Anolis sagrei: one gene and its partners. The protein of the gene in region 2 interacts with the protein of the main gene of each other region in a pairwise test. Links are inferred from orthologs where the notes say so. Each region holds a gene or a part of one and is shown on either strand. Other genes may lie near its edges. The genes, in order: PRPS1, SPG21, protein NOXP20 and CTPS2.

What was found.
Region 1: the proteins of SPG21 (region 2) and PRPS1 interact in binary tests that used the Homo sapiens proteins (3 or more experiments, as listed by UniProt). The two-hybrid records come from large-scale screens. The link is inferred for Anolis sagrei from reciprocal best matches to the Homo sapiens genes SPG21 and PRPS1.
Region 3: the proteins of SPG21 (region 2) and protein NOXP20 interact in binary tests that used the Homo sapiens proteins (3 or more experiments, as listed by UniProt). The two-hybrid records come from large-scale screens. The link is inferred for Anolis sagrei from reciprocal best matches to the Homo sapiens genes SPG21 and FAM114A1.
Region 4: the proteins of SPG21 (region 2) and CTPS2 interact in binary tests that used the Homo sapiens proteins (3 or more experiments, as listed by UniProt). The two-hybrid records come from large-scale screens. The link is inferred for Anolis sagrei from reciprocal best matches to the Homo sapiens genes SPG21 and CTPS2.

What each region holds. Positions count from the first base shown.
Region 1 is NC_090030.1:20,036,962-20,044,381, forward strand, and holds the start of PRPS1 (ribose-phosphate pyrophosphokinase 1), read left to right. Parts: upstream 1-4,378; 5' UTR 4,379-4,684; coding exon 4,685-4,806; intron 4,807-7,420. UniProt on the Homo sapiens protein: Catalyzes the synthesis of phosphoribosylpyrophosphate (PRPP) that is essential for nucleotide synthesis.
Region 2 is NC_090029.1:18,381,853-18,389,808, reverse strand, and holds the start of SPG21 (maspardin), read left to right. Parts: upstream 1-4,933; 5' UTR 4,934-5,074; intron 5,075-5,119; exon of another isoform or gene 5,120-5,246; intron 5,247-7,569; exon of another isoform or gene 7,570-7,676; intron 7,677-7,753; 5' UTR 7,754-7,782; coding exon 7,783-7,845; intron 7,846-7,956. Other genes in the region: CLPX (ATP-dependent Clp protease ATP-binding subunit clpX-like, mitochondrial), read right to left, coding at 1,214-1,283. UniProt on the Homo sapiens protein: May play a role as a negative regulatory factor in CD4-dependent T-cell activation.
Region 3 is NC_090025.1:119,061,726-119,069,350, reverse strand, and holds the start of protein NOXP20, read right to left. Parts: upstream 3,081-7,625; 5' UTR 2,971-3,080; intron 2,834-2,970; 5' UTR 2,760-2,833; coding exon 2,724-2,759; intron 417-2,723; coding exon 282-416; intron 1-281. UniProt on the Homo sapiens protein: May play a role in neuronal cell development.
Region 4 is NC_090023.1:90,167,986-90,175,306, reverse strand, and holds the start of CTPS2 (CTP synthase 2), read right to left. Parts: upstream 3,111-7,321; 5' UTR 3,058-3,110; coding exon 2,897-3,057; intron 1-2,896. Other genes in the region: TXLNG (gamma-taxilin), read left to right, coding at 3,291-3,398. UniProt on the Homo sapiens protein: Catalyzes the ATP-dependent amination of UTP to CTP with either L-glutamine or ammonia as the source of nitrogen. Constitutes the rate-limiting enzyme in the synthesis of cytosine nucleotides.

The DNA of each region.
Region 1 (7,420 bases), on a different chromosome or scaffold from region 2:
ATTAGCATTATTACATGTAATGCAGGCCCATAGCAAGGATTTTGATTTGATGGGGGGGGGGGGGGGAGGCTGAGTCTGAGTGAGAGAGGATCTATCCTAGCAAACCTTTTATATCATCCCAATAGCCCCATGCATATGGGATATATTGAGCATGGTGATCAGATCATGATATGAATAAACATAACAGTTTAAGTAATATACCCTTAAGGCCTTCTCAAGGACCACCTTGAGAATTTGGAGAGAGGGGGGGGCTGAAGCACCTCAAGCCCCTCCCCCCGGTGTAATATATAATATATAATTAATATTATATTGTATTATTATTAGTATTATATTGTATTAGGTAAAGGTTTTCCCCTGACATTAAGTCCAGGCATGTCCGACTCTGGGGGGTGGTGCTGATCTCCATTTCTAAGCCGAAGAGCCAGCATTGTCCATAGACACTTCCAGGGTCATGTGGCTGCATGGAGCGGCATTACCTTCCCATCAGAGCAATACCTATTGATCTACTCACATTTGCATGTTTTCGAACTGCTAGGTTGGCAGAAGCTGGGGCCGCTTCCCGGATTCGAACCTGCGACCTTTTGGTCCGCAAGTTCGGCAGCTCAGCGTTTTAACCCACTGCCCCACTGGGGGCTCCATATATTGTACTACATTATAATATTGTCAATATTATAGATATATACCAGGGGTCCTCAAACTAAGGCCCGACGGCTGAATATGGCCCTTCAAGGTCATTTACCCGGCCCTCACTCAGGGTCAACCGAAGTCTGAAATTGCTTGAAAGCACACAACAACAACAACAATCCTATCTCATCAGCAAAAAGCAGCCCCACACTTCCCATTGAAATACTAACAAGTTTATATTTGTTAAAATTGTTCTTAATTTTAATTATTGCACAGTTTAAAGTGTTTTTTGTACTACAAATAATATATGTGCAGTGTGGGTCATTTACCTGGCTCTCGCTCAGGGTCAACCTAAGTCTGAAACTGCTTGAAAGCACACAACCACAACAACAACAACAACCCTATCTCAATCCTATCCCATCAGCCAAAAGCAGCCCCACACTTCCCATTGAAATCCTAACAAGTTTATATTTGTTAAAATTGTTCTTCATTTTAATTATTGCACTGTTTAAAGTGTTTTTTGCACTACAAATAAGATATGTGCAGTGTGCATAGGAATTCATTCATGCTTTTTTCAAATTATAATCCAGCCCTCCAACAGTTTGAGGGACTGTGACCTGGCCCTCTGTTTAAAAAGTTTGAGGACCCCTGGTATATACAATATATTGTATTATTAGCATGGCACAATATTATTATTATTATTATTATTATTATTATTATTATTAACTTTATTTGTACCCCGCTAGCATCTCCCGAAGGACCCGATGCGGCTTACAAAGGCCAAGGCCTCAATAAAACAACAATATAACAAATACACATAAACCAAAAGCAAATCAAAACATTAAGTAATAACAGTAAGCAGTAAAAACAGTACACCGCAACACAATAAAAACTAAGCCGGGCCAAGTGTGATGGGTACAGATTAAAAGTGCTGATATTAGCTTATATAGTACTATATTGTGGCTGGAATGGCCTTTTAACTTTTAGGATGTGGGGAATCATACAATCAAAGAGTTGGAAGAGACTTCATGGGCCATCTAGTCCAACCCCCACCAAGAAGCAGGAATATTGCATTCAAATCACCCCTGACAGATGGCCAGCCAGCCTCTGTTTAAAAGCTTCCAAAGAAGGAGCCTCCACCACACTCCGGGGCAGAGTGTTCCACTGCTGAACAGCTCTCACAGTCAGGAAGTTCTTCCTCACGTTCAGATGGAATCTCCTCTCTTGTAGTTTGAAGCCATTGTTTCAAGTCCTAGTCTCCAGGGCAGCAGTAAACTAGCTTGCTCCTTCCTCCCTGTGGCTTCCTCTCACATATTTATACATGGCTATCATATCTCCTCTCAGCCTTCTCTTCTTCAGGCTAAACATTTATTTATTTATTTATTTATTTCAGGTACTTTTACCCCGCGGCTTACAAAAGGCATAATTCGATGCCTATACAAAAATTATACATAGTGTACAAAAACCATAGTTAAAACAATTATCACAGTTAAAACAATCATAACAATCAATATACATCACATCATATAAAAACTATTCACATGCTCAGCGTTCGTCTTTCAGAGTTCCAAATTCCATTCCATTAGTCATTTCCTGGCCATTCTCAAAGTCCTTTCTTTATCTGCACATGTTCGGCTCCTTAAGCCGCACCTCATAGGGCTTGTTCTCCAGACCCTTGATCATTTTAGTCGCCCTCCTCTGGGCACATTCCAGCTTGTCAATATCTCAATAGGAGCATAGTGTCTAGATCTAGGGAAGTAATGCTATCCCTCTATTCTGTTTTGGTTAGACCACATCTGGAATATTGTGTCCAATTCTGGGCACCACAATTCAAGAGAGATATTGACAAGCTGGAATGTGTCCAGAGGAGAGCGACTAAAATGATAAAAGGTCTGGAGAACAAGCCCTATGAGGAGCGGCTTAAGGAGCTGAGCATGTTTAGCCTGAAGAAGAGAAGGCTGAGAGGAGATATGATAGCCATGTATAAATGTGTGAGAGGAAGCCACAGGGAGGAGGGAGCAAGCTTGTTTTCTGCTTCCCTGGAGACTAGGACGCGGAACAATGGCTTCAAACTACAAGAAACGAGATTCCATCTGAACATGAGGAAGAACTTCCTGACTGTGAGAGCCGTTCAGCAGTGGAACTCTCTGCCCCGGAGTGTGCAGTTTCAAGACCTGACTCATTGCTGCCTGGGGGAATCCTTTGTTGGGAGGTGTTAGCTGGCCCTCATTGATTCTTGTCTGGAATGAGGAATATTATGGATTTCAGTAAGGCCTTCGACAAGGTCCCCCGTGACCTTCTGGCAAACAAACTAGTCCAATGTGGGCTAGGCAAAACTATGGTTAGGTGGATCTGTAATTGGTTAAATGGACGAACCCAGAGGGTGATTCTTCCCAATGAAGAACTTCCTGACTGTGAGAGCCGTTCAGCAGTGGAACTCTCTGCCCCAGAGTGTGGTGGAGGCTCTTCTGTGGAAGCTTTTAAACAGAGGCTGGATGGCCATCTGTCAGGGGTGATTTGAATGCAATATTCCTGTTTCTTGGCAGGGGGTTGGACTGGATGGCCTATGAGGTCTCTTCCAACTCTTTGATTCTATGATTCTATGATCTCTCTTGAATTGTGGTGACCAGAATTGGACACAATATTGTCCAGAGGAATCTCTGAGCTTGACCCTGCCTCTAGTACTTATTGAGGACTAGAAACTTAATGAAACAAAAGACTTGTGCAGTCCAGGGATGAAACCCAACGTACTTCACCAAACTACAACTCCCAGGACCTCGCAGCATGAAGTCATGCCAAGGTGCACTAATGCAAAGTGGAAAATACCATCCGTAAAGATCAAAGTTGACAACATTACGCTTATAATCATAGAATCACAGAGTTGGAAGAGACCTCATGGGCCATCCAGTCCAACCCCATTCTGCCAAGAAGCAGGAAAATTGCATTCAAAACACCCCCGACAGATGGCCATCCAGCCTCTGTTTAAAAGTCTCCAAAGAAGGAGCCTCCACCACACTCCGGGGCAGAGAGTTCCACTGCTGAACAGCTCTCAAAGTCAGGAAGTTCTTCCTCGTGTTCAGATGGAATCTCCTCTCTTATAGTTTGAAGCCAGTGTTCCGTGTCCTAGTCTCCAAGGAAGCAGAAAACAAGCTTGCTCCCTCCTCCCTGTGGCTTCCTCCCACATATTTATACATGGCTATCATATCTCCTCTTAGCCTTCTCTTCTTCAGCTCCTTAATCCGCTCCTCATAGGGCTTGTTCTCCAGACCTGTGATCATTTTAGTCGCTCTCCTCTGGACACATTCCAGCTTGTCAATATCTCTCTTGAATTGTGGTGCCCAGAACTGGACACAATATTGTCCAAAAGGAATCTCTGAGCTTGACCCTGCCTCTAGTACTCATTCAGGACTAGAAACTTGATAAAACAAAAGACTTGTGCAGTCCAGGGATGAAACCCAATGTACTTCACCAAACTACAACTCCCAGGACCTCGCAGCATGAAGTCATGCCAAGGTGCACTAATGCCACTTTCAAGAGTCTTGATCCACTTCGCGCAGGCGCACATCGCACCCTCCGCCGCCAACCCCTCCCCTCCCTCCTCCAGATCTCGCCTCCTGTATTACCGCGATAAAGCCTTCACGAGGAGCCCGCTCCCATTGGCTGCCGGGGCCCGCTCTGCTCCTCGGAGGAACCAATCGGAAACGCTTGCCGGCATGCGCCTGCGCGCTGGGTTGCTCCTCGCGCGCGGCAGGTGGGCGTGGCCGAGGCGATAAAAAGGGAAGCGCCAAGATGGCGTCGTCGTTGTTGTCGTCGCGGTAGGAGCGCTCTCCCCGGCCTCCCGCCCTCCGCTCTCGTTCCCCGCGTTCTTCCCGCCAGAGCCGCCAAGAGGGCGGAAGGCCGGCGGCGGCTGGATCCCCCGCGGGCAGGCGAGGCCGAGGCGGCGGGCCCCGAAGGCCGGGAGCGGCGCAGGGAGGCCGAGGAGGCGGCGGCCTCTCCCTCCTCCTCCTCCTCCTCGCCCAGCTCGGCGCCGCCCCCTCCCCACCCCTCCTTGGCCGGCAGGATGCCCAACATCAAGATCTTCAGCGGCAGCTCCCACCAGGACCTCTCGCAGAAGATCGCCGACCGCCTCGGCCTCGAGCTCGGGAAGGTCGTCACCAAGAAGTTCTCCAACCAGGAGACATGGTGAGTCAGGGGGGAAGGGGCTCAGGCCTGGCTTCCCCCGGAAGTCCCGCCCTCCCAAGCCCCTTCCTGGCTGTTCAACAGTGGAACTCTCTGCCTTGGAGAGTAGTGGAAGCTTTGAAACAGAGGCTGGATGGGCATCTGTTGGGGTGGCTTTGAGTGTGCTTTTCCTGCATGAGGGCAGAAAAGGAGTTGGGCTGGATTTATTTTATTTATTTATTTACTTTACTTTACTTGTTTACTTGTTTCTCAGCCCAACAGGCGACTCAACGCGGTTTACAACAGGGATAAAAATCAACCAACGATATACAATTTAAAACCATAAGAGCATAGTATACAATATTGACACAACAATAAACAAACACAATGCATCTCATAACTAGAGTCGTGATCCAATTCGTCGTCCATATTTCCATTCCTGTAATCATCACATTCATTGCACTGTTTATCCGAATGCCTGTTCAATCATCCAAGTTTTTAATCTTCTTCGAAACACCATTAGCGAGGGGGCTGATCTAACCTCCATAGGAAGGGCCCCTGGAGTCTCTTCCAGTTATGTTATTACTGTTGTAGAGACTGGATGGCCATTTGTTGGGGGTGGAGGCTTTGAGTGTGCTTTTCTTGCATGAAGGTAGAAAGAAGGGGGTTGGATTACATGGTCTCTTGGGTCTTCTACAGCTATGTCATTATTATTATTATTGATACTGCATGGCCATCTGTTTGGGGGGCTTTGAATGTGCTTTTCCTGTATGAAGGCAGAAAGAAGGGGGTTGGATTGCATGGTCCCTTGGGTCTTCTACAGCTATGTCATTATTATTATTATTGATACTGCATGGCCATCTGTTTGGGGGGCTTTGAATGTGCTTTTCCTGTATGAAGGCAGAAAGGGAGTTGGGCTGAATGGTCCCTTGGGTCTTCTCCAGTTATGTCATTATTATTATTATTATTATTATTATTATTGATACTGGATGGACATCTGTTTGGGGGTCTTTGAATGTGCTTTTCCTGTATGAAGGCAGAAAGAATGGGGTTAGACTAGATGGCCCCTGGAGTCTCTTCCAGCCATGTTGACCTCACCTCTGAGGATGCTTGCCATAGATGCAGGCGAAACGTCAGGAGAAATGCCTTTAGAACATGGCCATATAGCCCGAAAAAAACCACAAGAACTGCATGTTGTTGTTCTTGTTATTGAGACTGAGTGGCCATCTGTAGGCAGGGCTTTGAGTGTGCTTTTCTTGCATGAGGGCAGAAAGAAGGGGGTTGGATTGCATGGTCCCTTGGTTCCTCTACAGCTATGTCATTATTATTATTATTATTATTATTATTGATACTGCATGGCCATCTGTTTGGGGGGCTTTGAATGTGCTTTTCCTGTATGAAGGCAGAAAGAAGGGGGTGGACTGGATGGCCACTGGAGTCTCTTCCAGCTAAGTTGTTGTTATTATTGAGACTGAGTGGCCATCTGTTGGCAGGGCTTTGAGTGTGCTTTTCCTGTATGAAGGCAGAAAGAAGGGGGTGGACTGGATGGCCACTGGAGTCTCTTCCAGCTAAGTTGTTGTTATTATTGAGACTGAGTGGCCATCTGTTGGCAGGGCTTTGAGTGTGCTTTTCTGGCACTAGGGACTCTGGGCAGACTCACAGCAAACACCATTCGGTGCCATCATAATAATAAGTACAATCAACAAATTCATTAAAACAAAACATTAAATAAACAGTTTTTAAAACATGTCAATTAAAATCCAGGTCTAGAACAATTCATTGTCACTTCAAAATTGCTTATGTTCGTACAAGTTGCTGTTCAATGGTCAAATGCAAGGTCCCACAGCCAAGTCTTGAGTTTCCTTCTAAAGGACAGGAGGGAGGTGGCCAGTCTGATGTCTTTAGGGAGGGAATCACAATTGCGGCGGCAGTGGGATCAAGAGCAGGGCCTCTCCAGATGATCTTAAACTTCATGATGATTCGTAGTAGGAGATATGTTTGGACATGTAGTCTAGGCCAGAACCTTTTAGAGCTTTAAAGGTTAAAACCAGCACTTTGAATTGTGTTCAGAAGCAGATCAGCAACCAGTGGAGGTGCTGTAACAGAGGAATTGTCTGCTCCCTGTACCTCGCTACGGTCAGCAACCTGGCTGCTGACTGTTGGACTAATTGAAGCTTCCAGGCAGCCCCACATCAGAATTGGCTGCCTGCAAGGATGTTGCCCAGGGGATGCTCGGATGTTTGATGTTTTACCATCCTTGTGGGAGGCATCTCTCATGTCCCAGCATGGGGAGCTGGAGCTGACAGAGGGAGCTCATCCACGCTCTCCCCAGATTCGAACCTGCAACCTGTCAGTCTTCAGTCCTGCCAGCGCAAGGGTTTAACCCATTGCACCACTGGGGGCTCCATGTTGGACTGAATAAATAATGATTATGATGTTATCTTTATTGATATTCTGCCCCATCTCCGTGGAGCAGCGGTTTTCAACCTGTAGGTCCCCAAGGGGTGTTGGCCTACAACTCCCAGAAATCCCAGCCAGTTTACCAGCTGTTAGGATTTCTAGGAGTTGAAGGCCAAAATATCTGGGGACCCACAGATTGAGAACCACTGCCCTAGAGGGACTCGGGATGCCTTACAAT
Region 2 (7,956 bases):
ATTATTATTATTATTATTATTATTATTATTATTATTACTGACATTAACACTTAAAATAAATAATATTGTAAATTATAATTAAGTGTTTATAAATACCCAAGGGGGTGCCATAATAATAAAAATAATAAATGTATTTTTATACCCTGCCTTCATCTACCCAAAGGGACTCGAACGGCTTACATGGGGCCAAGTCCAACAATTAAAACATAACACATTAAAATGCCTATCAACAACATAATAATAAAGCAATATAACAAAATAAAAGCAACAACATTAAGCAGCATATAAAGCGAACATTCAAACCAACAACCAACTGCAAAGTTCAATGTCTTGTAATGGGGTGGGCGGACTGGGGTCACAATATTAAATAAATAGTTTTAAATAAATAAATAAAAAATAAATATTAGAGGATAGAGCTAATGAGTGAGGTGCAGATAGCATATAGCAGTGATAAATATAAGGACGATTTATCATTAAAGATTTGGATGAGAGATTTTTGTACATTAATAAATGGAGATTTTTGTACATTAAAAAATAAAGACGTCCCCTAAAAATAATGTATCTTTTGGAGCAAAAATGAATATAATACCCAGCCTTATTTTCATGGAAGAGGCACGGAAGCTGGCAATATTGGTTCATCTGGGAGAACAATATATATATATATATATATATATATATATATATATAATACTAATATAATGCTCAATCAACTACCAAACTCACACATTTTGTATTTTCTCTGTTTGTTTGCTTTGTTCTGTTAGAAATGTAATATAATTGACTGGTTGCCCTGACACGAGAAATAAATTAAATTAAATATAATGCTATGGTTATAATATATTATATTATATATACATATACTATTGATAATATTATAAAATAACAGAATATAAGACTAATAATAATACAGTACAATATATAATAATAGTCATATAACAATACCAATATATTAAATGCAACACTGCTGATAATATATATAATGATAATATTGTGTTATTATTGCAATGTTATTGATTGGGAACCGCTTTAAGCCTCCGTAGGGAGAGATAAAGCAGAATATAAATCAATCAATCAATCATCAGATCCATAACATGGAAGTTAACACAGGGTTAACACAGGGCTGTTAAAAACCTAAACAAGGGCCTTGAAAAGCTCGAAACCAGGAGTGAGGCCTAGCGCGCGGCTGAAGCCTCGGTCTCCGTTAGGGAGTTACCTCTTCGCGCCGAAGGGAGGGACGCGCTGAGGAGCCGTGCCGCCGCCGCGCAGGAACCGCAGGCCGCCATCTTGGCGCCGTCGTTCTTCCCACCTCAGAAGACCGAGACCCGGATGTAGCGTCACAGCCTCCGCGAAGAACGGCGGTGGGACCACAACTCCCGGCAGCCCCCGCGCCGAAGAGGCCGCGCTGATCAACCTCGAAGCGTACGATTTGCCTTCTGGGAAGGAGAGGCCAATGCACGAGAGGCGTGTGCGCAGGCGCAACTCACTATCTAGGAAGTCAGAGCTCTTCTTACGCGTTTCCCCTCTAGGTGGCGGGCCATCCTAGGGTCTATCTATTTTCCTATCTATCTATCAGTGCGATGCTACTCTGCTGCTGAGTATGCATGCTCAGTGTGGAACACATCTCACCACACTAAAACAGTAGATGTGGCTCTTAATGAGACATGCCGCATTATCATGGGATGTCTGCGCCCTACACCACTGGAGAAATTAGACTGCTTAGCCGGTATTGCACCACCTGACATCCGCCGGGAAGTAGCAGCCAATAGTGAAAGGACCAAGGCAGAGACATCTCCAGCTCATCCCCTGTTTGGGTATCAGCCAGCACGTCAACGACTTAAATCTAGAAATAGTTTTCTAAGATCTACAGAGACACTCGCTGGAACACCCCAGCAAGCGAGAGTCCAAAAGTGGCAGGCCCAAACCCAGCACCTCATTTCATGGGTGATACCAGATGAGAGACTCCCCCCTGGGCACACAGAGGACATGGCGACTTGGAAGGCGCTGAACAGACTGCGCTCTGGCACCACGAGATGCAGAGCCAATCTTAAGAAATGGGGCTACAGGGTGGAATCCTCGGCATGCGAGTGCGGAGAAGAACAAACTACTGACCACCTGCTGCAATGCACCCTGAGCCCTGGCACATGCACAATGGAGGACCTTCTTGCGGCAACACCAGAGGCACTCCAAGTGGCCAGATACTGGTCAAAGGACATTTAAACAACTACCAAATTTGCAAAATCTGTGTGGTTTTTTTCCTTTTTTCCCCTTTTCTTTTTAATCTCTGTGTTTGTTTTGCTCTGTTAGAATTGTAATACAATGGTTGCTGATGACACGATAAATAAATAAATATCAGTGCTTCTCAACCTGGGGTCCCCAGATGTTTTTGGCCTACAACTCCCAGAAATCCTAGCCGGTTTACCAGCTGTTGGGATTTCTGGGAGTTGAAGGCCAAAAACATCTGGGGACCCCAGGCTGAGAAGCACTGACTGATCATGGAACAACAGGCTGGTTCAATGTTGGGAAAGGCATATAGCGAGGTTGTATACACTCCCCCAACATATTTAACTTGCATGCAGAACACATCATGCGACCTGTGGGGCTTGACGAATGCAAGGCTGGGGTGAAAATTGCTGGAAGAAACATTAACAACCTCAGATATGCAGATGACACCACTCTGATGGCCGAAAGCAAGGAGGAGCTGAGGAGCCTTCTAATCAAGGTGAAAGAAGAAAGCGCAAAAGCTGGGTTGCAGCTCAACATAAAAAAGCCCCAAGATTATGGCAACAAGAATGATTGACAATTGGGAAATAGAGGGAGAAAACGTGGAGGCCGTGACAGACTTCATATTTCTAGGTGCAAAGATTACTGCAGACACAGACGGCAGCCAGGAAATCAGGTGACACTTACTTCTTGGGAGGAGAGCAATGTTCAATCTCGATAAAATAGTGAAGAGTTGAGACATTACACTGGCAACGAAGATCCACAGAGTTAAAGCAATGGTATTCCCCGTAGACACCTACAGATGTGAGAGCTGGATCTTAGGGAAGGCAGAGCGAAGGAAGAGAGATGCTTTCAAACTGTGGTGCTGGAGGAAAGTTCTGAGAGTGCCTTGGACTGCGAGAAGATCCAACCAGTCCATCCTCCAGGAAATAAAGCCCGACTACTCATTGGAGGGAAGGATAGTACAGACAAAGTTGAAGGACTTTAGCCACATTATGAGAAGAAAGGAAGGCTTTAGAGAAGACAATAATGCTGGGGAAAATGGAAGGAAAAGGGAAGAGGGGCCGACCAAGGGCAAGATGGATGGATGGGATCTTTGACATGACTGGATTGACCTTGAAGGAGCTGGGGGTGGTGACGGCTAACAGTGAGCTCTGGCATGGGCTGGTCCATGAGGTCACGAAGAGTCGGAAACCACTGAACGAATGAACAACATTTATTTCATAAAATTGATTTGGATTGCTTGGGGGCCCTCCCAACTCGAGGAATATCTATCTATTTGATTATTTATCTATTCTGCCTATCTTCCCATCTTATCTATCAGCTATTATAGGATGGACTGGATGGTCTTTGATGTGTCTTCCAACGCTAGGAATCTAGAGTTGTGCTATGCTAATAATATAATATATATAGATATAATCTTGATAATATTTTTTATTTATTTATCATATTAGGAGCAAACCATGGGTACAGTTGCAATGCATTTAAAAAACAAGTTTTTTTAAAAAAAAAACTTGGCATATTAAATGTTCTTTGACCAGTAGCTGGCCACTTGGAGTGCCTCTGATGTTCCTGCAAGAAGATTCTCCATTGTGCATGTGGCAGGGTTTCTGTGGTTTGCTCTTCTCCACACTCGCATGTTGTGGACTCCAGTTTGTGGCCCTATTTCTTAAGGTTGGCCCTGCATCTCGTGGTGCCAGAGTGCAGTCTGTTCAACGACTTTCAGCTCGGTTGTTGTGGTTTTTTTCCGGCTATATGGCCTTGTTCTAGAGGCATTCTCTCCTGACGTTTCGCCTGCATCTATGGCAAGCATCCTCAGAGGTAGCCACCTCACCTCACTACCTCTGAGGATGCTTGCCCTAGACACAGGCGAAACGTCAGGAGAGAATGCCTCTAGAACAGGGGTCCCCAAACCTTTTAAACAGAGGGCCAGGTCACAGTCCCTCAAACTGTTGGAGGGCCAGATTATAATTTGAAAAAAAAAACATGAATGAATGCACACTGCACATATCTTAATTGTAGTGCAAAAATACTTTAAAATGAAGAACAAATATTAACTTATTAGTATTTCAATGGGAAGGGTGGGCCTGCTTTTGGATGATGAGATAGGATTGTTGTTGTTGTGTGCTTTCAAGTCGTTTCAGACTTAGGTTGACCCAGAGCGAGGGCCGGGTAAATGACCTTGGAGGGCCGGATCCGGCCCCCGGGCCTTAGTTTGAGGACCCCTGCTCTAGAACATGGCCATATAGCCTGAAAAAACCTACAATCCAGTGATTCCAGCCACGAAAGTCTTCAACAACAGACTTTCAGCTCGTCCACTCTTCTGTGAGCTCAGGGGGGAGTTTCCTCATTTGGTATCAGCCATGGATTGAGGTTCCAGGCTTTAGCCTGCCACTTTTGGACTCTCGCTTACTGAGATGTTCCTGTGAGTATCTCTGTACATCTTTGTACTATTTCTTGATTTAAGGCGTTGGAGTGCTGGACTGGGAATGTCACTGCGTCAGGAGAGAATGTTTCTGGAACATGGCCAGAGAGTCCAGAAAACTCACAACAACCCAGCTTCTGCTGGTGGTGAAATCCCCTTTAAACTTCAAGGCTTTGTGCGCATGCGTGGCTGGAGCCTCCACGTGATTCTTCCCTGCGTCCCCTTCCCGCCCCTTTATGGGGAGCCCCGCCCACTCGGCTTTGTGACGTCCGCTGATTGGCTGGCGCCGCACACCTTTCGTCTCCGCCTACTTGGAGAGACCAGGAAGTAGGGACTGGAAGATACCATTCGAGCGGGAAAAGGGGAGGGACGGTGTGTTTGTTAAGGTGGTTTCGTCCACCCGCCCGTCTCGAAACGGAGGAAAACCTGGTAAGGATTGAAAAAGAGAGGAAGGGAGTGCCTTTGTTCAGGTTTTTAGGCAGTGGGTAAGCGAGAGACCCCAAATCATGCCTTTGGGGGAGCCTAAAGAAGAATGGTAGATCCCAGCTTGCCTCCCTTAGAGGAATGGCATGCCCCTGATAGGGAAGCTGGGCTGAGTCAGGTGCCTTGTTTGTTTGTTTGTCTGTCCCTGATCTTCACCTTCTTCCTGTTGGTTGTCATTATTTGCATTATGCATTTCATAAAATACATCATGTGTATATATATTCTGTAGGTTGTATGGATTTTTGCATATATTTTTATTGATCTTGAGTTATATGAAACCTGGAACTTAGGTATATTTCAGTGATGCTAATGATTGATATAGTATTTTAATGGGGTATTTCCCCCTGCATTTTATAATCTGGTTTCTGTGTACCTTTTATGTATTATATATTATACAATATAGTACAATATATTATATCATAATATAATATAATAATTGTATATTACATATTGCATGTAATATTACTAATAAGGTTGTACAATTATTGGTAATATTACAATATAATAATATATTGTACTAATATTGTGGTATGCTAATCCTCACTTTGAGACACTTTGAGAGTGTTTGAGGACCGGGACATCCGTAGGGATACCAAGGTGTTTGTTTATAAAGCTATTGTCCTCCCAACTCTGCTATACGCCTGCGAGACGTGGACTGTCTACAGATGTTACACGCAACTCCTAGAATGATTCAACCAGCATTGCCTCCAAAAAATCCTGCAAATCTCTTGGGAAGACAAGCGGACAAATGTCAGCGTGCTAGAAGAAGCAAAGACCACCAGCATTGAAGCGATGGTCCTCTGCCATTAACTCTGCTGGACTGGCCACGTTGTCCGGATGCCCGGCCACCTTCTCCCAAAGCAGTTGGTCTACTCTCAAGAATGGAAAACGAAATGTTGGAGGACAGGAAAAGAGATTTAAAGATGGGCTCAAAGCCAACCTTGAAAACTCTGGCATAGACACTGAGAACTGGGAAGCCCTGGCACTTGAGCTCTCCAGCTGGAGGTCAGCTGTGACTAGCAGTGCTGTAGAATTTGAAGAGGCACGAACGGAGGGTGAAAGAGAGAAACATGCCAAGAGGAAGGCGTATCAGGCCAACCCCGACTGGGACCGCCTTCCACTTGGAAACCAATGCCCTCACTGTGGGAGAACATGCAGAGCAAGAATAGGGCTCCACAGTCACCTACAGACCCATCGCTAGGACACCAATCTTGGAAGACAATCCTACTCGGATAACAAGAGATCGCCTAAGTAAGTAAATATGCTAATAATGCATAATGGTGTAACATTAGAAACTGTTGACCATTTCTGTTCCCTTGGCAGCCACCTCTCCATAAAAGTCAACATTGACACTGCTATACAGCACCACCTGAGCTCTGTGAGTACAGCATTCTTCCAAATAAAGCAGGTGCTTGTTTATAAAGCTATACGCCTGCAAAACGACTGTCTACAGACGCCACACTTACTTAGGCGATCGCTTGTAGCCCGAGGATGATGGTTCTCCAAGTGTAGTGTCTTGCCGGTGAGTCCGTAGGTGGCTGTTGAGCCCTATTCATGATCCGCATGTTTTCCCATAGTGAGGACATCAGTTTCTGTGTGGAAGGCGGTCCCGGTCAGGGGCCGCCTCTTGGCAGATTTCTCCCTTTCATCATTCATTCGTGCCTCTTCGAATTCTGCAGCACTGCTGGTTGCAGCTGATCTACAATTAGAGCGCTCAAGGACCAGGGCTTCCCAATTCTTGGTGTCTATGCCACAGTTTATAAAGTTGTCTTTAAGCCCATCTTTCAATCTCTTTTCCTGTCCACCAACTTTATGTTTCCCATTCTTGAGTTGGGAGTAGAATAACTGCTTTGGGAGACGGTGATTGTGCATTCGGACAATATGGCACTAAGTCCGGTGGAGTTGATGGCGTAGGAGTATCACTTCAGTGCTGGTGGTCTTTGCTTCTTCCAGCATGCTGATATTTGTCCACCTGTCTTCCCAAGCGATTTGGAGGCAACACTGATGGAATCGTTCCAGGAGTAGAAAGTGATGCCTGTAGACAGTCCACGTTTCGTAGGCATATAGCATATAGCGTATTTTGTTCCATAGTGTTATTGCAAATGGAAAGAGACCATGAGACGCTCACCGCTTTGGTAGTGAGATATACAGTTTTCTTGGGGACTTTGCAAAGAATGTAAATAATGTCCCATAATCCTGAAGTGGAGCCTTTGGGCTGGATTGTCAAGGATCCAAACCCTTTACTTTGTCTCCCATTTTTTGTGCAGCTTTCTTCAAGTGGAATTGTACAAGGCGCACAGCTGCAGTTTGCCTTATATATAATGTAATGCATGACTGGTTTCATAGGAATTGTTTGCCCTGCCAGTGTATTTCTTGCTTTCTGTTCTTCCTGCCACTTTGTACGTAACAGACACAAACGCCGTGTTTTCAAAATCACTTCCCCTTTCTAAACATTTCTCTCAAACCGAGCCAAAGGAGCACAGTTCGAAAGAGAAGATTAATCCACTGCTCAGAGCGGCGAGCAAGCTTTGCCTTGAATGAATCCATTGTACGTCTGAGTACCTTTTGTGTTTTTAGCTGAAACGCATGTTCTTTTAGACAGAAACGTCTCCCTTTATGTTTCAGGTGTTCCTCACTGTGGGCTCGCGACCATCATGGGAGAGATTAAAATCTCTCCGGACTATAACTGGTTCAGAAGTACGGTTCCTCTCAAAAAGGTAAGTTCAACCTCTAAATATAGGCTACATCAGGTCAATAGATGCAAGGAAGCTTCTGGCTGGGTGGAGTGGCCATCTAGTTGGGTGGAGTGGCCCAGATCAAGAAATAAA
Region 3 (7,625 bases), on a different chromosome or scaffold from region 2:
GCCCTTGGTTTCTTTCATTCATTCCAATAGAGATCATACAGGAGAATGTCTTGACAGAAATATATAATAGGGTTGTGCATAATATCATTTTGGTGTAATGTATTTGGTTGATTCGGCTGCCAAATCCATGAAAATGAGTCTGGCAGCCTTAGCTTTAGCCTATAAGGATCACAGCAAAACTCGGAAGCTCTGGAAAATTATCATCATAGTCAGCTATGCAGACCTGTTGTATTACTTCCAACAGTTTTGATTATCATATTATCAGAATTGGCTATTTTTACCTGAGATAAAGAAACGGTTCGCTCCATCAGTATTTTTGTTTTCTTAAATCCAGGATCATTTTCTGCAAGGACATTCATGGTTTTCTTGCCAATGAACTCCAAAGCACCAAGGCCACCAGTTAAGACACTTTTGCCCTGGGCAATTCAGAGAATAGTGTTATTATGAACGTGCATCACAAAGCTAAATTGTAAGAAAATCACATCAATTTGAATAGTTGGAAACAATTTGCTTTGGATTCCAGGTGTTCTTGATTTTTTGTACAACTCCAAATAAGACTTATGTAAGACTTATGGCTCGCTCATCAGCTCAAATACAGATTATGTTGGAAATCGCAACCTTCTCAAGCCTCCTCTAGTTGTTTGTTTTATATATATATAATTGCTTATTATATTGTATATATGTGTATTGGTAGGCAATTTTACTTTAACTCTTTGTTGTGGGAGGGGCTGCAGACCGTGTGATCAGAACTGGGCTTGCTCAGGACTCAGACTCTATTTTAGGAACAATACAGTTTAGACTTCAGTAGAAACAGTATGCTTAGAGACCCCATTGGACTTTCAAACTAGAAACAAGACTCTATTAGACTCTCAAAACAGAGAGATGCTTTTGATTATGGACTATTGATTCTCAGAATGATGCCCTGTGTTAGGTAAAGGTTGTCCCCTGACATTAAGTCCAGTCATGTCTGACTCTGGGGTGTGGTGCTCATCTCCATTTCAAAGCCGAAGAGCCGCCGTTGTCCGTAGACACCTTCAAGGTCATGGGGCCGGCATGAATGCATGTTAACTACACAGAAAAACTACTTCAAATCCTATTTGTAACTGGATTGATATGCAAAGTACATGTATGTGAGTAAATCAACAATGTTACTTTTAAAGAAGTCTGCTTATTTTTGTCAAATATGTTTTGAGGGAGAGTAGATTTTTTTAGGCAACTAAAAGCCACACTTCTGAAGCTCTGATTGATATATATATATATATATATATATATATATAGAGAGAGAGAGAGAGAGAGAGAGGGGGGGGGGGAGAGGGAGGGAGAGAGAGTACACTGGAATACTGAGAAACCTAGTTGCCTTGAATGAATGCTGGTGAATGACATTTTCCCAAAAGGTTATGACTCTAACAGGTCATGCTTTTTACCAAGAGGTTATGGCATCATTTTTCAAAAGGTTGACTTCTAACAAGGTCATGCCTTAATAAAGATCACAAAATATCCAAATAGTTCTAGAGATTTCCATTTTTCCAAAAGATTATTGGCAAAATAATTAATAAGTTAGTGAAAAGGAAATACATCAATTGAAAGGGACAAAAGCAAAAACAAGACAGTGTCAACAACACAAATATACAATAATCTTAGTATTTTGTATTAAGCCAGGTATTTTTCAACCTGGGGTTCCCTTTGAATTTTTTGGCAATATATTCAGCAATTGAGGTTAATCTTCTCAAACAGTGTGAATTAATATTCCTTCCAAAGCACAAGTGAACAGTGGTTATCTAAGAAAGCAGCTTAGTTAGTGTGAGGCACCCATTGCACTTGTAAAAACATTTATTGTAAACTGAAGGTACATCCCAGAACACACATCTCTACAAACTTTGCGTAAAATGCAGAACTTCTACTGCAAATGTGGTGGCGTTTCTCAACTGGATACTGAAAAGATACAATTCTGAGGGGATAAATTTGGGACTAAATACTGTATATACTACCATGCTTTCTTCTTTTGTTAAATCACAGCAGATGGCAAAAAGTAAGCAAAACAAAAACAACAAGCAGCAAATAAGCCATAATATTCCATGGAATGTACACAGCTAGGTCTGTGGATGCGCTCTTTGATTTTAGTTTACTGCATTGCACCAAGAAGATGGACTGCTCACACACAACTGTCCTTTTTTGCAGGAATCCTATAGGCACGCAGGGAGTGTGTGCAATAACCCATTTTGCTGCCCTAAGGCTCTGGACATGGTCACGCCACAGTCTTGCCACCATGCAGTAAATCTGAATTATTCACAAATGTTGACAGCTTGTCTTGCTGTCAATATGGTTTGGGAGTTTATGAATCCCTGTATGTGCCTGGAGCATTTCAACACATCATCTATCACAACAAAGCTGTAGCATCTGCTACTCGGGATGAGAAGCTGCGGTCCAGCTGCTTTCAGCTTTTGATACAAAAGTCCAAAACTGTCTACAAGGCAAGTGGAGGCAGTTTGATATGTCCTGCAAAGAAAAAAAATGACTTCTCCATATACCGGTGATAATTATTCTGGAGTATATTTTCTAAATGATGACTGCATTGGTTTTGCCCGTTAGCAGATAAAGCACTTCATACTTTTCAACTGTGTTTTCAATTATTTATTTATTTGCTTTCTTTTCTTTTATGTGTATTCTTTGCTTTTTCTGGACTGCCCTTCCTCAATGCTCTTTTTGTCACGGGAATTGCTTACCGTATTCTGTACAGCACTAGAAATGGTTGAAAACATTCCGCGTGACCCAGAAGGAGATGAAGGTGAAACTGCATCTTCTTGGGAGTTTTGTGGCAGGGTCTCTTCCGTGTCTGAAAGGAAAAAAGAACCCCGGAATCCCAGATGCTAGTAATGTCAGAGCATGATCACAGATTAAAGATTTGCACTGACACAAGACTAGCCATTTCATATTTCTATTAACAAATAGAAAGGATAATGCCTCGCTTACCACTTGCAACAAGGTTTTCAGCTGTGCTGGGATGTGGGTCTTCTGATGGCCCAGAGGAAGGAACATGAATTCTGAGGGTGGCTGCTTTTTCTTTAACTGCAGTTAGTCCTTGACCTGCAGCAGAACATATATGGTTTATATGAAACAATTCTGCATACATTAATTACTTAAAAAAACAAAACAAGAAAAACACAGTGTTCATCGCTGGGCCAGTAGCAGCAGTGGAAAACCTGCCAAGAGATTTCAGTTCCCTTCCAACTTCAGTTGATCCTGTTCCCCGTCTGCAGTATCGTAATAATACTGATTTGGATTTTTAGAAATATTCCCCTAAGATAACGTATGTGAAGTGCTTTGAACATTCAAACAAATATTGCAAATGTTAAATATTACAATTATATTAATAATGTGATAAACCTTATATATGACTTGCTGTTAGTTTTCACAATGGGGGACGCATGGCTCGAGAGCAGTACATGTGAAAAAGATCTTGGGATCCTCGTGGACAACAAGTTAAACATGAGCCAACAGTGTGATGCGGTGGCAAAAAAAGACAATGGGATTTTGGCCTGGATCAATAGGGGTTTAGTGTCTAGATCCAGGGAAGTCATGCTACCCCTCTATTCTGCCTTGGTTAGACCACATCTGGAATATTGTGCCAATTCTGGGCACCACAATTGAAGAGAGATATTGACAAGCTGGAATGTGTCCAGAGGAGGGCGACTAAAATGATTAAGGGTCTGGAGAACAAGCCCTATGAGAAGCAGCTTAAAGAGCTGGGCATGTTTAGCCCGAAGAAGAGAAGGCTGAGAGGAGAGATGATAGCCATGTATAAATACGTGAGAGGAAGTCATAGAGAGGAGGGAGCAAGCTTATTTTCTGCTGCCCTGGAGACTAGGATGTGGAACAATGGCTTCAAACTACAAGAAAGAACATTAGGAAGAACTTCCTGACTGTGAGAGCCTTCAGCAGTGGAACTCTTCACCCCAGAGTGTGGTGGAGGCTCCTTCTTTGGAAGCTTTTAAACAGAGGCTGGGTGGTCATCTGTCGGGGGTGCTTTGAATGCAATTTTCCTGCTTCTTGGCAGGGGGTTGGACTGGATGGCCCATGAGCCCTCTTCCAACTCTATGATTCTATGATTGTACGTGCTTCTGAAGGTACCAAAGGAAAAACAGATCCGAGCACAAGTCTAGAAATTACATATGTATTGATTCTATGATTCCGGGATGTATGGCCATGTTCCAGAAGTATTCTCACCTGGCATGTCGCCCACATCTATGGCAGGCATCCTCAGAGGTTATGAAGTCTGTTGGAAAATAGGCAAGTGAGGTTTATATATCTGTGGAATGTCCAAGGTGGGAGAAAGAACTCTTGTCTGTTTGAGGCAAGTGTGAATGTTGCAATTGGCATTGAGTTGCCTTGCAGTTTCAAAGCCTGGCTGCTTCCTGCCTGGGGGAATCCTTTGTTGGGAGGTGCTAGCTTGCACTGATTTGTTTCTTGTCTGGAATAACCCTGTTGCTTGAGTGTTGCTCTTTATTTACTGTCCTGATTTTAGATTTTTTTTACATGCTGGTAGCCAGATTTTGTTCATATTCATGATTTCCTCCTTTCTGTTGAAATTGTCCACATGGCTTCTCTGTGTAGTCTGACATGGTGGTTGTTAGAGTGGTTCAGCATTTCTGTGTTCTCAAATAATATGCTGTGTTGAGGGTGGTTCATCAGGTGCTCTGCTATGGCTGACTTTTCTGGTTGACTTCACCCAGGCAGGAAGACTGCCATAGATGTGGGTGAAATGTCAGGACAGAATGCTTCTGGAACATGGCCATGCAGTCCGGAAAACTCACAGCAACTCAGTGATTCTGGCCATGAAAGACTTCGACAACACCTTATATATGATTTTTATATATAATCTATAGTTGGTGTTTTGAAACCACTGCAAACAGAGAGTGGCCTAAAATTAACACGTCACATGTCAACATTAACTACATAGATTTTCAGACATATATTGATCTATTCAGTAAGATTATGCACTTTTATTTTAAGATTTATCTTTCAAGGCATTTGGCATTTTACACATTTGCTTTGGTTACTTAATACATAATTATTTCTGTCCACCCAGCTTTTCCTATAGAAGAACCTATATCAGTGGCAGGCTCTTTGTGAGCAATCCTATGGTCGTACTAGGAACAGAACTGAATAAATACGTTGAGAATTGCCTTGTTGCCTTGAACATTGTTATATCTAAATTTAGTTGGATCATCCCCTTTATTGTAATCAGAAAAATGGAGTTAATTTAGTGCAGTTTATGTATCAAAAAAATAAATAAGCATTTTATGAGAAACTGCCACTGGGCTAAAATAGATGGATATTAGTTCGGAGCAAACTATTTGTATTTTTATGCTTCAGTGATATTCAATTAGAACAAGAAGCAATAAAGTGCATGGAATATGGATGAGAAGAACTTCTTATAGCGCTTCAAGGTTCTGTGATCACAATCTGAAATGCTCATGATTTCAATAATAACTGGCCACCAAAGACTGTAATACCACATAAGATACTGTAAGGCTGGGAAATAGCATGGTTGAGAAAGCATGTGCACGGACAAAAGCGTTTGAGAGGGAAGGACGGGACACAAACGCAGCATAACAAATGTGGGTTTACCTTTCTGACTGATTGAAAGCATTGTGTTCTCATTGTATGTCTGGCTGCATGCTGGGCAAAACTGGACAGGCAATTGTACAGCATCAGAGTAGAGGGCTACACTGGCATTATGCCACTTCTGTACTGGCAGTGATGCCTCATTAACACTACAGCAACGTGAGGGAGTCAAAACTGAGTGGATTGAAAAATGTCGCCAGAAAAAGTAGAGTTCAGTGCTCAGATATTATGTTCAATTAGAGTTGGTCCACTTTGGCAGCAAAAGAGGTTTCAAGTAATAAAATAAATGGGCTACAATAAAGAATCCCAGATAACCGTGCCGTCTTCTGACTATGGCAGACAACAAGAGCAGCAGCAGGAATTAATAAGCAGTATGGCATGCTGAAGGGTTGCAGAGTTTTGGTGTATAGCACAGATTTCCAGATGGCTACTGGTTGTTCTGGGGCTGTCAGAAGTTTTAAATCTTTGTCTATTTCCAGTGTAAAAGGAAATTCAGAAGCACAGGAGATGGCAATCTGGATTGAGCTGACATTGTTCTGGGTCTAGTTGACATTTAATGGGATTTAAGGGCAGCAATTCTATTTGGCTCAGCATAGCATAGTAGTTCTGAGTGGGAAACTACATTATGCTGAACCATTTGTTGGAATTCAACCCTACACTGTTCAAGTCTGAAATTCTTGGGTTTTGCAGATAAAAATGGCTTTTGGGACAATATAATGAAGACACAAAATAAACTGATTACTAAAATATATAAAAAACTACTAGAGTGGACAACAGAAAAAGAGCAAATAAAAGAATGTATGGTGAAATCGGACCAAAACATTAGACACCAAATTGACTTAAAACATTGGGGAAAAGCCTGGAATCAAAGACTTAAATATACCTATTCTTTTGATTTGAAAGAAAATTGGCTTAAAATGCTATATAGGTGGTACATTACACCATATAAAATCTCTAAATGTTATAAAAACGCATCCAACAAATGTTGGAAATGGGAACAACATACGGGAACTTTTTTCCATTCCTGGTGGACCTGCCCGAAAGCGCAACAGTTTTGGAAAGACATAAATGAAGCCATACAAAAGATTTTAAAAATAAAAATTCAAAGAGAGCCTGAATATTTTTATATGGCATGCTAGATATATAAAAAGACAAGAATAAAGAGATTTTGTTTAATTTCTTGGTCACTGCTGCCAGAATAGTGTACGCCAGGAACTGGAGACAAAAAGAAGAAGACTGGCTGACCAAAGTGCTAGAGATTATGAATATGGACAGACTTGCCTATTGGCTTTCATCTAACCAAGGCCTACCTAAGAAAGAGACCAACTGGGACCTTGTAAAAGACTACTTAAAACAGACGAAAATAGATCTCATCTGCTGAAGACAGTCAATCTTAAGGAAAAAAGAAGACGTAGGGGAAGCAGAACAATTATAACATAATAGTAATTCCAAATAAACGTAATGACCATCAAAAGCAAGAAAGAAGTCAACAAATATCTTTTTCTTTTTTTTCTTTTTTACAGTTTTTAGAGTATCAAATTTTTCATTTTTTTCTCTTTTTCTCTTTGTTTCCTCTTTTTCTTTTCTCTTTTCTCTCTTTTTCCTACTTTCTATACAAGCAAATGTTCTCCCACTTTGTAAAGGAAATACTATCTTTAGATTTCTTTTTTCATTTTCTTTATTTCACATGATAAAATTTCAATAAAAATTTCAATTTTTTTAAAAAAGAAAAACTATACCAAAATGTGCTGCAGGATATCCTGCAACAAGGTTTTTTTTTAAGTTTGCAGTCCTCAATGAGAAGCTGAAAGATAGCATTAAGCTAGGCTGAGGGTATCATTTTCCCCTCATTCCTGCATGTCTGTTGTTGTTCTGTTTTTTTCTCATTCTCTGACCTTTCTCCTCCCATCCCAACTGATAACGTAGAATGGAAGTCTTCAGGATGCATGTTCCCTTTGTTTTAAGGCAGTGGTTCCCAACTTGCAGTCCGTGAACCACCA
Region 4 (7,321 bases), on a different chromosome or scaffold from region 2:
TCATATTTTGATTTGGTTTTTATGAGCCGGTGTATAGTTTATTTCTACTAGGAAATATAAAAATATTTACATAGAGACCTTTTCTCTACTTGAATTAGTTCAAAGGCACTTGGAACATCTGGTACTTTTCCCGTACCATAAAAGCAAAGGGATGCTTTTCAGCACCTTCAGCCAGGAGTAAAACAGCTTATTTGGTTTAATAATTGGTGTAAACCCAACTCAACCTTATTTATTGGCAGGTAAGACAGAACCAAATAGTTCTGTACCCTGAATCATGAATAATGTTGGACATAGTTGTCCCAGTTCTCTTAGCTTAGGTCCTTTTGTAGTATGGATCCTGTCAAATGTATGGTTCAGTTAACTCCCACCAGATGAATTTGTTTCTAGAAGCAGGTTGAAATGACTTGAGTCCCGTCCGAGGTTAGAAAAGCCGGGGGGGGGGGGGGGGGTCACTGGAATTCAACAAGTGACTTGAAGGCACACATTATAATTACAATATATTTACTTTCAATGGTAACAGTATGCATTATGTGCTCAATTTCCGGTATTTTGTACAATGGGGAAATGCTTCATAATTTAAGGCAGACAATTCAGCAAATGTAGTGGAGTTGTGCCACAAACATCCGTATAAAACTGGGCATGAACTTTTTTTAGAAGGCAATGACAAATATGTCTGAAAGATCTAAGAGGTGCTTTACTTAACAAGAAATTTAAAAACAACTTGCGTTCTTTGCCCTGAATGTACGAGTACTAGAAGCCAATAGAATGTATTGCTTAATACATATCGGGATGACAACAGAGGAATGGGGATTTGGGATGTCAAATGAATACATTTTGACCCCAATGCCATGACTCGGTGCTCTTGAATCCTAGGAGTTGTAGTTCCACAAGATCTTTAGCTTTCCCTGCCAAAGAGTGGTGGTACTTCACCAAACTACAAATCTCAGGATTCCAGAGACTGAGCCATGGCAGTTCAAATGGTGTAAAAGTGCATTAAGTTGACAGTGTAGATGCATCTGTTAAGGCAATGGTTCCCAATCTGTAGTCCATAGACCACCAGTGGTCCACAAGAATTAAAATATGGTCCGTGGCCTCACCATTACTATACTGTTGCAATGAGAGCGAGACTGGTCTCACGAAACCCTCTTATAGTGCCAAGGCTTATTAAGTACTGTTTTCTTTGAAATGCAATTCAAAGTACTTTGAATGTAATTTTCCTGCTTCTTGGCGGGGGGTTGGACAGGGTGGCCCACAAGGTCTCTTCCAACTATGATTCTATAATTCTGTGGGCAAGCAGATGGCCACTACTGGATGGCATATGCTCTGTATCAGAAACTAGAGCTGATGTGGTCTATCCAATGCAATTTTCTGAATCAGCACCCTAAATAACCAAACGAAAAGTTGACCAAAAACTGATTCGTAACCCTTTTGGTACTAATGTCTGGACCATCCTCCAAAAATCGAGTGCCCTAACAAATTTGTGAACATCCTGCGGCTCCTCCATGATGACAACGATTTTGGACAACAATGGCTCCCAGAGTGGCCCATTTAAGGTGGAATCAGATGTCAAACAGGGATGTGTTATTGCCCCAACTTTATTTTCCATCTTCATCGCTATGATACTTCATCTTGTTGACAGGAAGCTTCCCACCGGTGTTGAAATCACATATCAGACAGATGGTAAGCTATTTAACCTCAGCAGACTGAAAGCCAAAACTAAGGTTACAACAACATCTGTTATAGAACTTCAATATGCTGATGACATTGTCTGTGCACATCCAGAAGTCTACCTACAAACCACTCTAAACACCTTCGCAGAAGCATACGAGAAGCTCGGCCTGTCATTGAACATCGAGAAAACCGAAGTTTTCCAGCAGTCACCAGCCAATCCTTCTCCAATGCCAGAAATACAGCTTAATGGTGTAACATTAGGAAATGTTGATCATTTCTGCTACCTTGGCAGCCACCTCTCCAAAAAAGTCAACATTGACACTGAAATACAACACCGCCTGAGCTCTGTGAGTGCAGCTTTTTTCCGAACGAAGCAGAGAGTGTTTGAGGACCGGGACATCCGTAGGGATACCAAGGTGCTTGTTTATAAAGCTATTGTCCTCCCAACCCTGCTATATGCCTGTGAAATGTGGACTGTCTACAGACGTCACATGCAACTCTGGGAATGATTCCATCAGTGCTGCCTCTGGAAAATCCTGCAAATCTCTTGGGAAGACAAGTGGAAAACATCAGCATGCTGGAAGAAGCAAAGACCACCAGCACTGAAGTGATGGTCCTCTGCAATCAACATGTCCGAATGCCCAACCACCGTCTCCTAAAGCAGTTGCTCTACTCCGAACTCAAGAACAGAAAACGGAATGTTGGAGGACAGAAAAAGAGATTTAAAGATGGGCTCAAAGCCAACCTTAAAAACTGGCACAGACACAGAGAACTGGAAAGCCCTGGCCCTTGAGCGCTCCACCTGGAGGTCAGCTGTGACCAGTAGTGCTGAAGAATTTGAAGAGGCACAAATGGATGGCGAAAGACAGAAATGTGCCAAGAGGAAGGTGCGTCAAACCAACCCCGACCAGGACCGCTTCCCACCTGGAAACCGATGCCCTCACTGTGGGAGAAGATGCAGGTCAAGAATAGGGCTCCACAGTCGTCTACGGACCCACCCTGGAGGATTATCCTACTCGGACAACGAGGGATCGCCTAAGTATATAAAGTAAGGTACTAATGTTGGAGAGTGGTCCCTGGTCAAAAAAAGGTTGGGAACCACGGCTTTAGATAAAGCTCTTGTCTGGAACAACACACCAAAAAGTAGAGGTGAATATGCAGAGATCTCATCGAAAGCAGAGAGAATACAAGCTACGATGAGAAACCTCTCCGGAAAGAGACTCACCCTGGCTTGAACTCCTGTACTTTCCTGACAGAGCGGCTTAAGAGCAGCGGGCCCCTTGCAGCGCGAAGCATTTGCCTGCCGCCTCCGCGCGCCGAGAAAAGCGTACAGCCCTTAATAGGCTGCAACCTTCCCCATAGGGTGTCTCTCAAGTGAAAGGGCATGGGAGGTACATACAGAGAGAGAGAGAGGTGTCCCCATGTGCTTCTGCCGCAAGGGATGCTGGGGGGAGTAGTTCTCAATGGCTGAGGTGTGAGCCGGTTGGTCCTTTGGCGTCACGTGGCAAGAGAAAGCGCGCCCCGTGATTGGCTAGAGGGAAGAAGAGGAGGCGGGGAATGTGGCGGCGGAGGAGGGCTTCCGGTGCGGGCCGGCTTGTTTTGGCTCCTGCCGTCACAGTATGGCGGCGCGCGGCGGAGAGGCTCCTCAGGACCTGCCAGAGGGAGGGAGGCGCAGCGGGGAGGCGGAGGCGGCCTTGGCCTCGGACGGAGCCCGCGGAGGTCCTGAGGTAAGAGCCCGGCGGGTTTGTCTTCGCGGCTGGGCGAGGGAAGGAAGGAGGGAGGGGAGAGGAGGCTCCGCTCCACGCGGCCGCGAGGGAAGCGGGCTCCGGCGCCTGAGGCCATTCCGTCCCGCCGCCTCCTCCTCTTCCTCGTCCCATCGTGGTCCTTAATACCACCATCCAACCTATATGTCGTTTTGCAGGAACACCACGAAACACAGCAAGGACGCCTCTAGCTCACGCATGAGCAAACTTCGGCCCTCCAGGTGTTTTGGACTTCAACTCCCACAATTCCTAACAGCCGCTAGGCTGTTAGGAATTGTGGGAGTTGGAGTCCAAAACACCTGGAGGGCCGAAGTTTGCCCATGTAAGGCACAAATGTAACTTGTGTTGCATTGCAAGCCCTACTGGCCGCATAAAATGACATGCCTTTGACGTGCACGATCTAAAATATCATTGTAGAGGCCTACAGACACAAAGGGAAGGAGGAAGAATAATTCACTATTGTACAAAAGCTGTGCTATAGTTGTGATAACTTGCAAAAAGAAGAAAAAACCCACAGTGTAATACAAAACACAACAGCCAAGGATATCGCACTCATTTTCACAACAGAATCATAGAGTAGGAAGAGACCATGTGGGCCATCTAGTACAACCCCCTTCCATACAGGAAAAGCACAAAATATCCCTGACAGATGGTCATCCAGTCTCTGTTTAAAGGTTTCCAAGGAAGGAGTTCCCACCTCATTCTGAGGCAGAGAGTTCCACTGTTGAACAGCATATACAGCAAGGAAGTTCTGCCTAATGTTCAGGTGGAATCTCATTTTCTGTAATTTGAACCCTAGTTCCACTTTCAAGGGCAGCAGAAAACAGGCCTGCACCCTCTTATGACACCCTTTCACATATTTACACATGGCTATTGTCTCCTCTCAACCTTTTCTTCTGCAGGCTGAACATACCCAGTTCTTTAAGACACTCCTCATAGGTCTCCAGAACTTTTATCATTTTAGTCGCCTCCTCTGGACACCTTCCAGCTTGTCAATATCTCTTTTGAATGGTGGTGCCCAGAATTGGATACAGTATTCCAGGTGAAGTCTATCCAAAGCAGAATAGAAGGTACCATGACTTCCCTCAATCTAGACCAATGGTTCTCAACCTGTGGGTCCCCAGATGTTTTGGTCTTCAACTCCCAGAAATCCTAACAGATAGTAAACTGACTAGGATTTCTGGGAGGCCAAAACACCTGGGGACCCACATATTGAGAATCACTGATCTAGACACTATACTCCTTTTGATGCAGCCTAAAATCCATTTGGTGTTTTTAGCTGCTGCATCACACTGTTGGCTCATGTTCAACTTGTTGTCCAGGAAGACTCCAAGATCTTTTTCACCTTGACTGTTGTTGAGCCAGGCATCACCCATCCAGTATCTTTGCATTCCATTTTTTCTGCCAAAGTGTAGTATCTTACATTTGACCTTGTCGAAAACAATAATCAAAATAAGAAGGCCGCAAAACAAAAATAAAGTGCTATCATTTTACCAACCAAAGCCAGGCCTGCCATTCTTTTGGAACAGGGACTAAGAGTGCATCTACACTGTAACATTAATGCAGTTTGGTACTATTTAAACTGCCATGCTGTAGAATCCCAGGAGTTATCGTTATTGCAAGGTTTGCTGCTTTCTCCGCCTCACCAAACTGTAATTCCCAGGACTTCATAGCATTGAGCCTTGGTAGTTAAAGTGATTTCATACTACGCTAACGTGACAGTGCAGATGCACTCAAGAGTGTTTTAATGCACGAGCAAATGAAGAATGCCAAATCCTACTCTGCAGCAGAACCTAGAAAAGAAGGGAAAGGACATAGCTGTCTGTCCTCATGCCAGAAAGCTCCTTAGAATATGGTTGGCAACACTGTGCTGCTTTTGGGGATTCCTCATAGTTCTTTTCCAGTTCCTAATTAAATTACCTGGGAAGGGTTAAAATGATGTTTATTGTTTATTCTTTGTATGGAATAATTGGGCTAAGAGGCTCCCTTTCCTCCTAACTGTTAAGTGTTAAGTACAGCCAGCTTTGGGATTTGGGGCACAGGACTCCCTTGAAAGTGAAAAACTACACACACACACACACAAAGAAGTAAGAAAGGCGCATGAAAGGATTTAGAATTGTCAGTGAATCTTGCTAGATTTCTAAAAAAAATATGAGTCTCAGGTTCTGCTCATTTTGATCTCTCTGTACAGTGGTCAGAATGCCCACAGGTACCACTCCAACTCCACAACTTTCTGTAGAGAAAGCAGGGTGGACAGCATGCGCCTACTGGGAAAGGCATGGAAGTAGTGTCCTGGTATGTTCAAGCACAAAGTGTTTCTATGTGCACATGGCCAAGGAATGTGCCTATCAAGGTCTTCCAGCATCAAAAGAAGTTGAGGAGCACATCTGCTCAGATGCTGATAACACAGTAGCTGCCTCCTTGAAAACACTTCCAGATCTGGAGGAAAAAAGGATTGGCTGTGCCATGCTCCTTTGGCTCATATGATGTCCAAAGGTCTCTGAGCAGGTTGCTTAGGCAATTGCAAAACTCCAGACTTTTTCTTAACATCTGAGGTTAACTACTAAGGAAATCCTAACTTAGCTTTATTATAAAAGTGGGCCCTTGATATCCCTGGGGTTTGGTTCCAGGACACAAACAACATTTGAAGGGACCCAAAATCCATGGGTTCTCAAGTCCCTTTAAATACAACGGCATAGTAAAATGGTGGCCCTTTTATGGCAAAATGTAAGATTTGCTTTTTGTAATGTCTTTTTTAAAATATTCAAGACATGGGTGGTGAACACATGACTAGAGAATCCATGGATACAGTGAGCCAACTACAGAAAAGGGAACACTGATTCATCATGATCATTATAAGACTATTTTGCTCATCAGTGTGAACAGAAACATTAATTACATGCTCAAATGTATTACAAGTTTTGGGAAAGTTAAGTACCATTGAAAATTAATAAATGTGAAACTCAAATGCCTGGCATTTTAGGTACAGAAGATATAAAGATGTGGAATCAGTAGGGACTCCAGTTTCTTACTACTTTTAAATGCTTGCTTTTTGTTTAAGGTATTTACATTCCATGTGCTCCAAGCAGTAGCTTATGACACTTTACTATATATAGAAATACAAATTAAGTAACCAAGTAATAATAATTTATTAATACCATATTATAGTCAGATGTGATCTTATGTAATACCAATAGATTAACACTTGCAAGAGTTTGGAAAATAGCCAAGAAATTTTGAAGGAACTCAGAAGAAGTGCTATCATAGAAATATTACCTCACCTGTAGTAAACATATACCATAGTTTAGCAAACAGGCCATCAAGAGTAAGGCCTCCAATAAATCCAAACAGGCAAGCTCCTGTGGAAGCAGGTTGGCAAAGTATGGTGAGATTCTATTACTGCTGAATTTATACAGGTTCTGCATTTAATTGCAATAAAGTTTTCTGTAGTTTTGGGTTCAGAGATAAGAAGTCAAGAACAGTTTCAGAGGAAGTCTTTGATCTTATAGTTGAGTTCTCTGGTGAATACATTTCTTTAGCTAGCTACAATAAGAGAAGTCCACAAGGCTATGCTTGTCAAAAAAAGTTCTTTATCTGATTAATAGTGGTGCAGAAGAAACAAAGCACTCCTGTAATCTCTTCTAGTCTTCTGTCAGTTGGGCCAACAAAGCACAAAATTGTTTTATGTGTGTGCTGACAAGTCACTTATTGACTTATGATGAGCCCATTAATTCCTTAGGGTTTTCTTTGGCAACAAATATTCAGAGGTGATTTTGTCAGTTTCTTCCCCTTTCACCTACACCACCTAGTATTTATTGGCAGTCTCCCGTCCAAGTAGAGATTGGGTTGTCCATGCTTAGCTTTCAATATCATGAGAGATCTGGTGC